Kluyveromyces lactis: one gene and its partners. The protein of the gene in region 1 purifies or fractionates together with the protein of each later gene. This does not show direct contact. Links are inferred from orthologs where the notes say so. Each region holds a gene or a part of one and is shown on either strand. Other genes may lie near its edges. The genes, in order: KLLA0_A04730g, RBG1 and DBP2.

The links.
Region 2: the proteins of KLLA0_A04730g (region 1) and RBG1 purify together in Saccharomyces cerevisiae (affinity purification with mass spectrometry, with the first as the bait; 3 studies listed by BioGRID). This does not show direct contact. The link is inferred for Kluyveromyces lactis from reciprocal best matches to the Saccharomyces cerevisiae genes TIF4631 and RBG1.
Region 3: the proteins of KLLA0_A04730g (region 1) and DBP2 purify together in Saccharomyces cerevisiae (affinity purification with mass spectrometry; 3 studies listed by BioGRID, with this or other methods). This does not show direct contact. The link is inferred for Kluyveromyces lactis from reciprocal best matches to the Saccharomyces cerevisiae genes TIF4631 and DBP2.

Annotation. Positions count from the first base shown.
Region 1 is NC_006037.1:422,566-426,321, forward strand, and holds the start of KLLA0_A04730g (uncharacterized protein), read right to left. Parts: upstream 2,364-3,756; coding exon 1-2,363. Other genes in the region: proteasome regulatory particle base subunit RPT6, read right to left, coding at 3,045-3,756. UniProt on the Saccharomyces cerevisiae protein: Component of the eIF4F complex, which interacts with the mRNA cap structure and serves as an initial point of assembly for the translation apparatus.
Region 2 is NC_006042.1:2,172,720-2,175,821, reverse strand, and holds RBG1 (GTP-binding protein RBG1), read right to left. Parts: upstream 1,733-3,102; coding exon 623-1,732; downstream 1-622. Other genes in the region: KLLA0_F23309g (uncharacterized protein), read left to right, coding at 1-49; FUN12 (translation initiation factor eIF5B), read left to right, coding at 2,394-3,102. UniProt on the Saccharomyces cerevisiae protein: Involved in ribosomal function.
Region 3 is NC_006042.1:2,215,576-2,219,331, forward strand, and holds the start of DBP2 (DEAD-box ATP-dependent RNA helicase DBP2), read right to left. Parts: upstream 2,555-3,756; coding exon 1,282-2,554; intron 271-1,281; coding exon 1-270. Other genes in the region: DNA-directed RNA polymerase core subunit RPC19, read right to left, coding at 2,980-3,363. UniProt on the Saccharomyces cerevisiae protein: ATP-dependent RNA helicase involved nonsense-mediated mRNA decay and ribosome biogenesis through rRNA processing. Associates directly with chromatin, correlating with transcriptional activity.

The DNA of each region.
Region 1 (3,756 bases):
TCGGACATCATTTCAGGTTGTAGAGGAGTACCGTCTTCGTTTGTAGGTAGTTGATCAGTCCATCCTGTTTGGAATTCAGTTTGACATCTTTGGACTAAGTAATGCAAAACCAAGTGAGAACCAGTCTTATCTGGGGTTTCTGAGTCTTTAATGCTATCATCTAAGTCTTTAACGACCTTACCACATAATTGCGCGTACATTGATGACCAATGAGGTTCATCGCAGGCCTTATTGAAAATTTGTTGGATGACAATCTTCAAAGTCTCACCCTTTTCTTCCCATCTAGATTGGTTAGCGATCTTCATGATATCATCAGAAATAGGTTCGAACATTTCTAATGTCAATTTATTCAGCAATGACTTCATCTTTCTTGATGCTTCTTCCGCGTCGTAAAGTTCTGTTCCGTCTGGAGCTAACTTGACTTCTGTTTTCTTCATCTTAGATTTAGGAACCCATCTATTAGCACTTGGGACCAATGGGGCAACCTCAACCTTTGGCTCTTCGACTTCTTCCTCTCTGAATCTTTCACGGTCCTTTCTGGAAGTGTATGATCTATTAGATTTTCTATCATCCCTCTTTGACTTCTTCTTCGAGTTGGACCTGGAACCCGATCTGCCTTCACTTCTTAGAGATCCAACCTTACCCTTACTAAATCTATCTTCGCCTCTTCCGCTTGAACCAGGCTTCTTAGGAGGGATGACAATTTTACTCGTCATTTCAGCCATCCACGCTGGATCGTATTTAACATCGACCTTTTCTTTGAACTGATACAAGAAATCAGGTCCGTATGCATATTTAATGCTTGTCTTTTTATATCTATCATTTGGAGGCGTAATGTCACTTGGGTATTGGAAGGAATAAATATCATCAACTGGAGAAACCTCTTTCAACTTCTGTAGGAAATCGGTCATGGTAATCTTTCCATCGTCTTCAACTTCAGCCTCTTCTCGAGGTTTTGTTTCAACATCAGCAGGAGTTTCAACGGGACCAGCAGGAGCCGGTTCACCTTCTTCGGCGTTTGCTTCAGTTGCTGTTTCTTCAGTTGCTGTTTCTTCAGTCTTTGGTTCTGCAGGCTTTGATTCTTCCGATTTTGGTTCTTCAGTCTTTAATACCTCGGTTTTTGGCTCTTCAGTTTTTGATTCTTCCGACTTTGGTTCATCTGACTTTGGTTGTTCAGTCGTCGGTTCCTCGGTCTTTGGTTCTTCAGGCTTTGGTTCTTCCGCCTTTGATTCTTCCGCCTTAGGTTCTTCAGTCTTTAGTTCCTCGGACTTTGTTTCTTCAGTCTTTAGCTCCTCGGTCTTTGTTTCTTCAGGCTTAGATTCTTCAGTCTTTAGCTCCTCGGTCTTTGTTTCTTCAGGCTTAGATTCTTCAGTCTTTAGTTCCTCGGTCTTAGCAGAAGCTTGCTTTGCAGCTTCCATCCTCTTAAGTCTCAATTTTTCGGCCAAAGTCAATGGTTTTGGCTCAGCTGGAGCCTCTTCCTTAGTCTTTTCTTGTGATTCTGATTGAGCTTCTTCAGACTTGGCAGATTCAGTGGCTGTAGGCCCTGTCTTAGTATCAACGCTTGCATCAGTGTCAGTTCCAACGACAGATTCCTTCGGTTCCTCAGGACCCTTCTCTTCGACAGCCTTCTTAGCAGCTAAAGCAGCCTTGCGTCTTTTAACTTGTTCCAAGAAATCGTTCACAATTAAAGTGTCCTTCTTTGGTTCTTCAGGCTTAGCTGGAGATTGTTCCTTACCATTAGCAGCAGGGCTCTGTACTTTGACAGCTGGAGAAGCTGATGGAGACACAGAGGATGATACAGCAGCAGCGACGGTAACGTTAGCTGGAGGCGACACTACTGGAACTGCACGCGAATGAGATTGAGAATGAGAATGAGTATGTGGATGAGCAATGGAAGCAATATCTATGTGTTCACCAGACTTGTTAGTAATCTCAACCTTCGCTGGTTTAGCTGAAACAGCAGCTGGAGACACTACTGGGGGGACATAACCTTGTCCGCTCATTGGAGTCTGGTAAGCAGCAGCGTACAGCTGTTGCTGCTGTTGGTACTGGTTATAGTACAGAGGGTTGTACTCTGCCGATACGCCGTAGTTCGGAATGTATCCCGCAGAAACACCGTACGCTGGTTGGTTATACTTTTGATAGTGCTTATTCGAGGAAGAACCATTATTATTGTTGTTGTTACCTCTTTGGTTATAAGGCCTAGAGTTCTTCCTGTTACCATCATATTTCCCATTTCTAGGAGCACCGCTTCCAGCAGTATTCTTGACATATCCACTGTTTTTTTGCGGAGAACTGGTTGTCTCCTCCTGCACAACTGGAGCTTCAACAGCTGGTTGCTGATCGGATGTAGGTTCGCCCATATCTGCTTTGAAAAACCGCTCTTTCTCTCTTCTTCAGATGAAATTAGCTGGATCTAAGCTCTTTTCTGTTTAATTTCTCTCTTGTAACCGAGTAATCCAGAGTACCTAGAGAAAACGAGTCGAGTTATATAGAAACACGAATGAGTAGAATGAAATTAAAGTCCAATTCTTAACTCTTTCTCTTTAAACAAATAAACGAAGAACAAAAAAAAATTATCACTTTCTTGTGAGATTCTTTTTTTCCCAGATTTGTTTCTTTACTGTCCACTGTTACTCTCTAACAATTCAAACAATACAAGTGCTGATAAATCTATTGACTATCAGATCAGCAGTAGCTCTCTGTGCCTCTTTTCCTCTATCCTGTTTTATGCAAAATGTGCTATCGTAATGGTAAAATTCAATGGCTTAAAGGTTGAAATTTTATTTCAAAAGATTCACAGCTTTTCCTCTTTACAATGTAAAAATTTTTTTTTTCTTCTTTCGTGTATATTGAGAAGATTGACATGATGGTCAAGTTTATGACGAGATGAGATGCGATGAGGGGGAAAAAGAGAGGATCTGATTAGAAACATATTGACACGGGGGTACAACCACAGGCGTGTGTTGTACGTGGCTTATGTATAATATGTAGGGATGTATCTAATGATATGCGCTGTTTGAGATGAAAGGGGTGAAGGATCCTTACTTGAACAATTTTGCTACAGAGATAGCAGTTTCGTCGTTCTTGTTCATGACCTTGGCCACGGCTAGTTCAAAATCTTCTTGGGTTACGTGAATTCTACGTTCCCTTAGTGCGTACATACCAGCCTCGGTACAAACACCTTTAACGTCAGCTCCAGAGCATCCGTTCATCTTTTCGGCGACTTTCCTTAGGTTAATACCACGGGTCAAGTTCATCTTTCTTGAGTGGATTCTTAGAATCTCTGTTCTAGCCGCTACGGTTGGTGGTGGGAATTCGATTTTTCTATCAATTCTACCTGGTCTTAGCAATGCAGGGTCCAATATATCCAATCTGTTTGTAGCCATGATGATTTTAATGTTTTTCGAAGTTTCAAACCCGTCCAATTGATTCAACAATTCCAACATGGTTCTTTGCACTTCGGAATCACCACCGCCAGATCCTTCAACACGACTGGAACCGATAGAATCGATTTCGTCCATGAAAATGATAGAAGGCGCATGTTCTCTAGCCATCACGAATAACTCACGGACCATACGGGAACCTTCACCGATATATTTTTGCACCAATTCGGCACCACTTACTCTGATAAATTTACAGTCTGTGTGATGTGCTACGGCTCTCGCTAGTAAAGTCTTACCAGTACCTGGCGGACCGTATAGAATAACACCTTTAGGTTGAGCGATACCAAGACTTTCGAATAGTTCTGGGTGT
Region 2 (3,102 bases), on another chromosome or scaffold:
AAGGCAATACGCAACTCCACGACTAAAAAGAATGGCGTTAAATAAATAAGGGATTTATTTCTCTGCGAATTTATCCGTTATTCAATGGAATACACTCTCATCAGTAGGCTGCATTTTCCTCCAGATTTCCTTGTTTGTTAATTCAAGCTGTACTATATCGCACCTTAAAAGGATTCATTAAAATACTGCTGTGATTTTGAGGATTCCACCAATACTATTCACATTCATTTCTAATAGAATAATATTCACTTCGTCAAATAACCGAAGTTTCATTCATTCATTCTTTCTTTCCATATCACCATCAGCATCCATCATTGCTTTTATATCTTAACATATATGTTGGCCAATATAAAAAGGCCATATGTATCCGTTGCTATCGATTTCACAAAATATCATATATTTACTACTATTTATGAATTTAAACATAACACGACAAATCAGTATTGAGTTAATGTTTAACAGAAGTTATGGCAACCTGAGTAATGAACGTTTACGATAATCTAACCAGATCCGTCTATGGAAAGCTGTTAAATAAAATGGATAACACTACATGAAAATGCGATGAAAATGCTAAAAACTATGATGACGGTGAGAAGAATGAGAAAAAAAAAGTAGCCTGTATTCATTTCTTCAAAATTGTGACAACATCTTCATCTTCTAATGTGTGATTAAGCCCCACATATTGAGGTTGATGCTTCACACTGCTGCCGTACACTAAAGCATTTCTGAAGTCCTCAACTAAAGATTTGTGAATTTGGTTACAGAAATCTCTTACGGTACACCTATCCGACCTTAACACCACTGGGTCTGTGAAATCAGGCATCGTACCCTTTGGCTTAGTATAAACACGGACTAAGTTTAGTCTATCCCACATAACTTCTAGTAGTTCATCCAAATTCCATTCCTTACCAGAAGAGATTGGAACTGCATTTGGAATTCTGTATAAAAGTTCCAATTCTTCTAATGACAAAGAATCTATCTTGTTTAGCACATAAATAGCTGGCATATACCTTCTTGATGGAGCTTCAAGTACATCAATCAAATCATCGACGGTGGCATCACATCTGAAAGCAAGCTCCGCACTGTTGATTCTATATTCACTCATAACAGCTCTAATTTCGTCCGGGCCTAGATGCGTCAATGGTACTGTATTTGTAATGGAGATACCACCTTTTTCCTTTTTCTTGATTAAAATGTCTGGAGGTTGCTTGTTCAAACGGATACCAACACCTTCCAATTCCTTTTCAATGATTTGTTTATGATGCAATGGTTTATTAACGTCCAAAACAATAAATAGTAGATTACAAGTTCTGGCCACAGCGATAACTTGTTTACCACGACCACGGCCATCTTTAGCACCGTCAATGATACCCGGCAAATCCAACATTTGAATCTTAGCACCCTTATATTTGATGACACCTGGAACCGTAACTAAAGTGGTAAACTCGTACTCAGCAGCCTCAGATTCTGTACCAGTCAGCTTAGAAAGTAAAGTACTCTTACCCACTGAGGGGAACCCAACAAATCCGACTGAAGCAACACCGGTCCTGGCCACATCGAAACCAACACCGGCACCACCACCACTACCGCTTGAAGCAGCCTGCAATAACTCTCTTCTAAGTTTCGCTAGCTTAGCTTTCAACTGACCCAAATGAAAAGAAGTGGCCTTATTCTTTTGGGTACGGGCCATCTCATCTTCGATGGCCTTAATCTTCTCTACTGTCGTAGACATCTTTTATTTCAATTCAGATATTGATCAGGAAATTCTTCAAAATAAATCCTTTTTTTATAATTTGATGCCAACCTCAGTGGAATACTGACTGATACCTATCGATTCCAACCGTTTAACTGATTTTGGCCTCTGTAACCAAACTATAATGAAACTCTAATATCATTAATCCTAAGCGATGAGATTGTGAATATCTGTAGAACTTCCTACTGTTGACAAAGATGAAGCTGTCAATTTTTTTCAAGCCGTCCAAGGTGATATTTTATACATCTTCAACGCCGATCGTAAATAGCGATGCTGAATGGCATCGACCGGTCTTCACCCCGAAAATAAGGCTAATGGGACCTTTCTGGCCCCTGAAAGATGAATTTTGGGCGCACCTCACCAAAGACAGGGTAATCTAGTATGTTATTTTTTTCTTTCCATCGAGGTACGTATAATCATGAACTTGAAGTTTTTCATCAGTTTTTTATTTTTTAGTACAGGTTTTTCTCACAACTTAAAACTATTTGAAAGATTGTTTTGCGTAAGATCAATTAAAAGGATTTTACATTATCTCTTTACTTGTTATAACCCTCTTTTACACTTTGTTTGCTGTCTATCATAATAAGATTTCGGAAGAACTGTAAAAGTAGAACCTTTGTATCCGAAAGAGTAGTTCAAGATGGCGAAAAAATCAAAGAAGAATCAACAGAATTACTGGGACGAAGAGTATGAGGAAGATGTTCCTCAAGAATCTTCAGTAGAACCCTCGATAGATGGTTCTGTTGAGCCAAGTGGTGAAACCGAAGTTGCCGATGCATCTGCCATTGAGGAAGATTTTATGTCCACTTTGAAGAAATCTAAGAAGAAGCTGGACAAGAAGGAAGACGAGGATACTAAGAAGCCAGTCTTGAAGTCCAAGAAGGAAAAGGAAAAGGAAAAGAAGGAGAAGGAGAAGGAGAAGAAGAGGGAACAAGCCGCAAAGAAGAAGGCTCAGCAACAAGCGCAGAAGGAAAACAACAAGAAACTTCATGCTGAACAAACTTCTAAACTGAAGGCTGAAAAGGAGGCTGGCAAGTCCACTGAAGGTGCGGCACCAAAGGCTGCACCAAAGAAGAAGGTCCCAGCCGGTCTTGCTGCTTTGAAACGTCAATTGGAGTTACAAAAGCAGCTAGAAGAAGAAGAAAGGTTGGCCAGGGAAGAAGAAGAGAGATTGGAGAAGGAAGAAGAAGAAAAGTTGGCCAAGGCTGAACAAGAAAAGGAAGAAGCTAGAAAGGCTAAGCGTGAGAGAGAACAAGCTAAGCGTGAAAAGTTAAAGGCAGAGGGTAAACTTCTAACTAAGAAACAAAAGGAGGAAAAGAAACTGCTTGAAAACAGACGTGCTGCTCTAT
Region 3 (3,756 bases), on another chromosome or scaffold:
CACCAAAGCCACGACCACCACGGCCGCCACCATATCTTGGATGTTGGCCGTATTGACCCCTGTCGTATCTTCTTAGTTCTTCTGGAATATCTTGTTTAGCTTCTCTCATAATCTTGATCAAAGCAGCACCCAGAGATTTATTGCCTTCAGTGAAGAAGGAGATGGCAGTACCAGTAGAACCGGCTCTACCAGTTCTACCAATTCTATGCACATAATCTTCGATGTTGCCTGGCATATCGTAATTGATAACGTAATTAATACCCTTGACGTCTGTTGAATAAGAATGAAGTTAGTAAGTTCGTTCGTAAATCGTAATGGTAACTATATTGACAGCACAAGTTCGAAGCACTTCCAAATGAGAATATAAAATCCAGAGGGCGCAATCAACGATTTATTATAACATTAGCCCGCGCGGCTTATTCATGTCAGAATAGTCGGTGGAAGACAAAGATTTATGTAAGGCTTGCTTATGTCGCAAATATGTACTTTTCTTTCTAACTTCATAGAATACATGGAACAACTACTAAGAGGAATCGCAAAAATAAAACTGAATGCACACTTTGCATAACAGGGAAACCATCCTGTGACGCTATTTTATCAGTTTTTTAATTCTTTAACCTCTTTGTTAAAATGAATGAATCCTTATTTCATTAGGTTCATGTTCCAATCTACTACTAAGCACAATTAATGATACGCGAATCTGATCTAACTCAAACGATCATGTTAAAAATAAAGAACATCTTTCAGCAAAATTGCATCAAAGAGATGTCAAATTGATAACATGATTAGAAAAAGTATCGAATGTCCGGTAATTCATCACAGCCTTCAATGCAACGAGAAAACCACGTTGTGTAAAAGCTACTTCACCACACATTCGAACCCAACGGTCCAATCAAAACCTGATTGTCATGAATACTAGTAAGCTTGCCAATCTACTTTTAATTCTAGAGATCTGAATAAATCAAATCACATCGGACTGGTCAAGTCTCTAAATCTTTATCAATAATTGTGGAAGTCAAAATGAAAAGTATTTTCATATCCTTTTCTCTGTCCGCACCAAATCCAATAGGATTTCGTTGATAAATAATAAGACCAGCTCATTATTTTTTACCTTTGAATCGAAAACATCCGTGTCATTCGAATAAAAAGGCATATCGTGATCATTTCGAAAGAAATGACTTCGACAGTTGTCTAATATAGTTAGTAGAAAGGTTTGACGATAGTCTCAATGTAAACTAAAGTTCAAACCAATGCTGAAAAAATTAAATTTCAATAACATACCAATACCTCTAGCAGCAACATCAGTTGCTACCATGATAGGAGATCTACCGGACCTAAACTCAGCCAAAACCCAATCACGCTCGTTCTGAGCCTTGTCACCGTGAATGGCCAAAGCTGGCCAGCCTTCAGTTCTCAAATAAGAAGTGATCTCATCACAAGTTCTCTTAGTGGAAGCAAAAATGATGATCTTGGAGTCTTGATCTTGAGAAGCGGTTTCCAAATGCTTGGCCAATCTATCTCTCTTTTCGAAATCAGTAAGGACTTCGACGATCTGAGTGATTGTGTGGGATGCAGACAATTCCAAAGAACCAATTTGAACTTGAATTGGATCATGCAAATAGTCACTTGCCAATTGTTTAACTTCCTTTGGCCAAGTAGCGGACCACATCAAAGTTTGTCTATCAGGTCTAATTTGATCGACAATTTTTCTGATTTGAGGTTCGAAACCCATATCCAACATTCTATCAGCTTCATCCAAGACAAGGTAAGTGACTCTTTTCAAGTTTGTCTTACCAATTTCCAACATGTCAATCAATCTACCTGGAGTAGCAATCAGGATTTCTACACCTCTCTGTAAATCTCTGATTTGTTGAGACTTTGGAACACCACCATAGACACAAGTGTTTCTAATTCTAGAGGAAGCACCAAATTTGGAACATTCTTTTTGAATTTGAACAGCTAATTCTCTGGTTGGAGCCAATACCAAAACAATTGGACCATCACCTGGAGATAGCAAAGGTTGAGCATTAATATGAACGATACCTGGTAAACAGTATGATAAGGTCTTACCGGAACCGGTCGCAGCGACACCAATCATATCTCTACCAGACAAAGCCATAGGCCAACCTTGGCATTGAATACCAGTTGGTTTGGCGAAACCTTCTTGCTTAACTTCATCCAAGACATAAGATGGGAAACCAGCTTCATCAAAACTTCTGATAGGTTTTGGAACGTCATGACCAGAAATGGTCATTTCGTTTTCCTTTCTAAATTCGATAACTTCACTTTCACTCATTTGAGCAACATCTGGATGTTCTTGGTAAAAATTCTTTTCGAAAACTGGCAAATTTGGTAGTTCTTCGTCCCAGTTTGGAGCGACCAAATCAACTCTGGTATCACGAGATGGACCACGACCAAAGCTACGGCCACCGCGGAAGTCATTACCTCTGTTGTAGCTGTTTCTGTCAGAACCTCTGCTACCACGGAAGTCACCATGAGTGCTGCCCATGTTGTTTCTGTTAAATTGATGATCTCTTCCACCGCCGAAACTCATTGTTCTCTGTATAATGTGTGAAATAAGTTGCTTGATGTTGAGAACCAAACGATAAAAAAAAATGCACACTTGTAATACTGAATGAACGAGGATCAGAGACAGGTTTGAATAATGTTTGCAGCTTATATATTAGTTTCAAAGGGCGATGAGGGAACTTGCAAATTTTTCAAAAAGAAACAAAAAAGAGAGAAAAAGAAATTTGTACCAATGTACCAATTTACCAAAATGGTCACGTGATTACATTAGCCACTCCAGCTACTTTTGCCAATGGTATATCCAACGGTGCTTCCAATGTGCTAGATTACCAGTAGCTATAAACGTAGAATCAATAGATATTATAGTGTATTATACAAGGATGATGTAGTTGTGTATTTAATTCTATTCTCTTATATATAGTTAATGCGGGAGCTGGAGATAACCAATTTCTACATTTCCCTGATTCTTTGCGTGAATCTGTCCTCTACAGCATCACACATGTCCATTAGATCTCCAAGACCCTTGTGCAAAGCCTCTACAGCAGTAATTTTGCCGTATGTTTGAATTCTAATGTGCAAAAAGTTTTCTGAAGGATGAGGAATAGAGTAACCACAGAATTCTACCTCCGGGTTTTTCATGATCATATAACGAAGCGTGTTACCAAGGGTATGATCTTCATCTGTTATTCTGAAAGAAGCACTAGTACCATCTTCGGAAGTAGCTTCTGTGAGAAGTTTGATCTTTTCACTGTCCACTTCTTCCTCCACTTGATCAACTTGATCATTTTGTTCAGCTGCTAGCATATCAACATCTTGCTTTTCCACTTCAGCCATATTTCCGAGAGCGCTTATGAATGGTCACTTAGGTGGTTTGTGCGTACTTCTTTCAAACAGTCAATAAGACGAGATGACCTACTCTGTTAAGCTGAACAATTTGTCAATATTGATTATGGTTTTTTCGATAGAGAGAAGAGGGAAAACCAAATCATGCTAAAGGAAAAAACAAAAAGCTTACCCGGTCTTGACCGGGTAACTGAAAGAAGCAAGTTGATGCGAAATACCAGATCACGTGTCACACACTTCATCAGTTACCGCGCAATGCACAGGTGTTGCTCATAGCCACGCTCAGGGTACCACACCATAGTATATAAACAACGGATCCCGAACAAAAAGCAAAGTAAACTAAAAGAAATGAGAAAATGCGACCAAAGCGAGACATACCCAAAG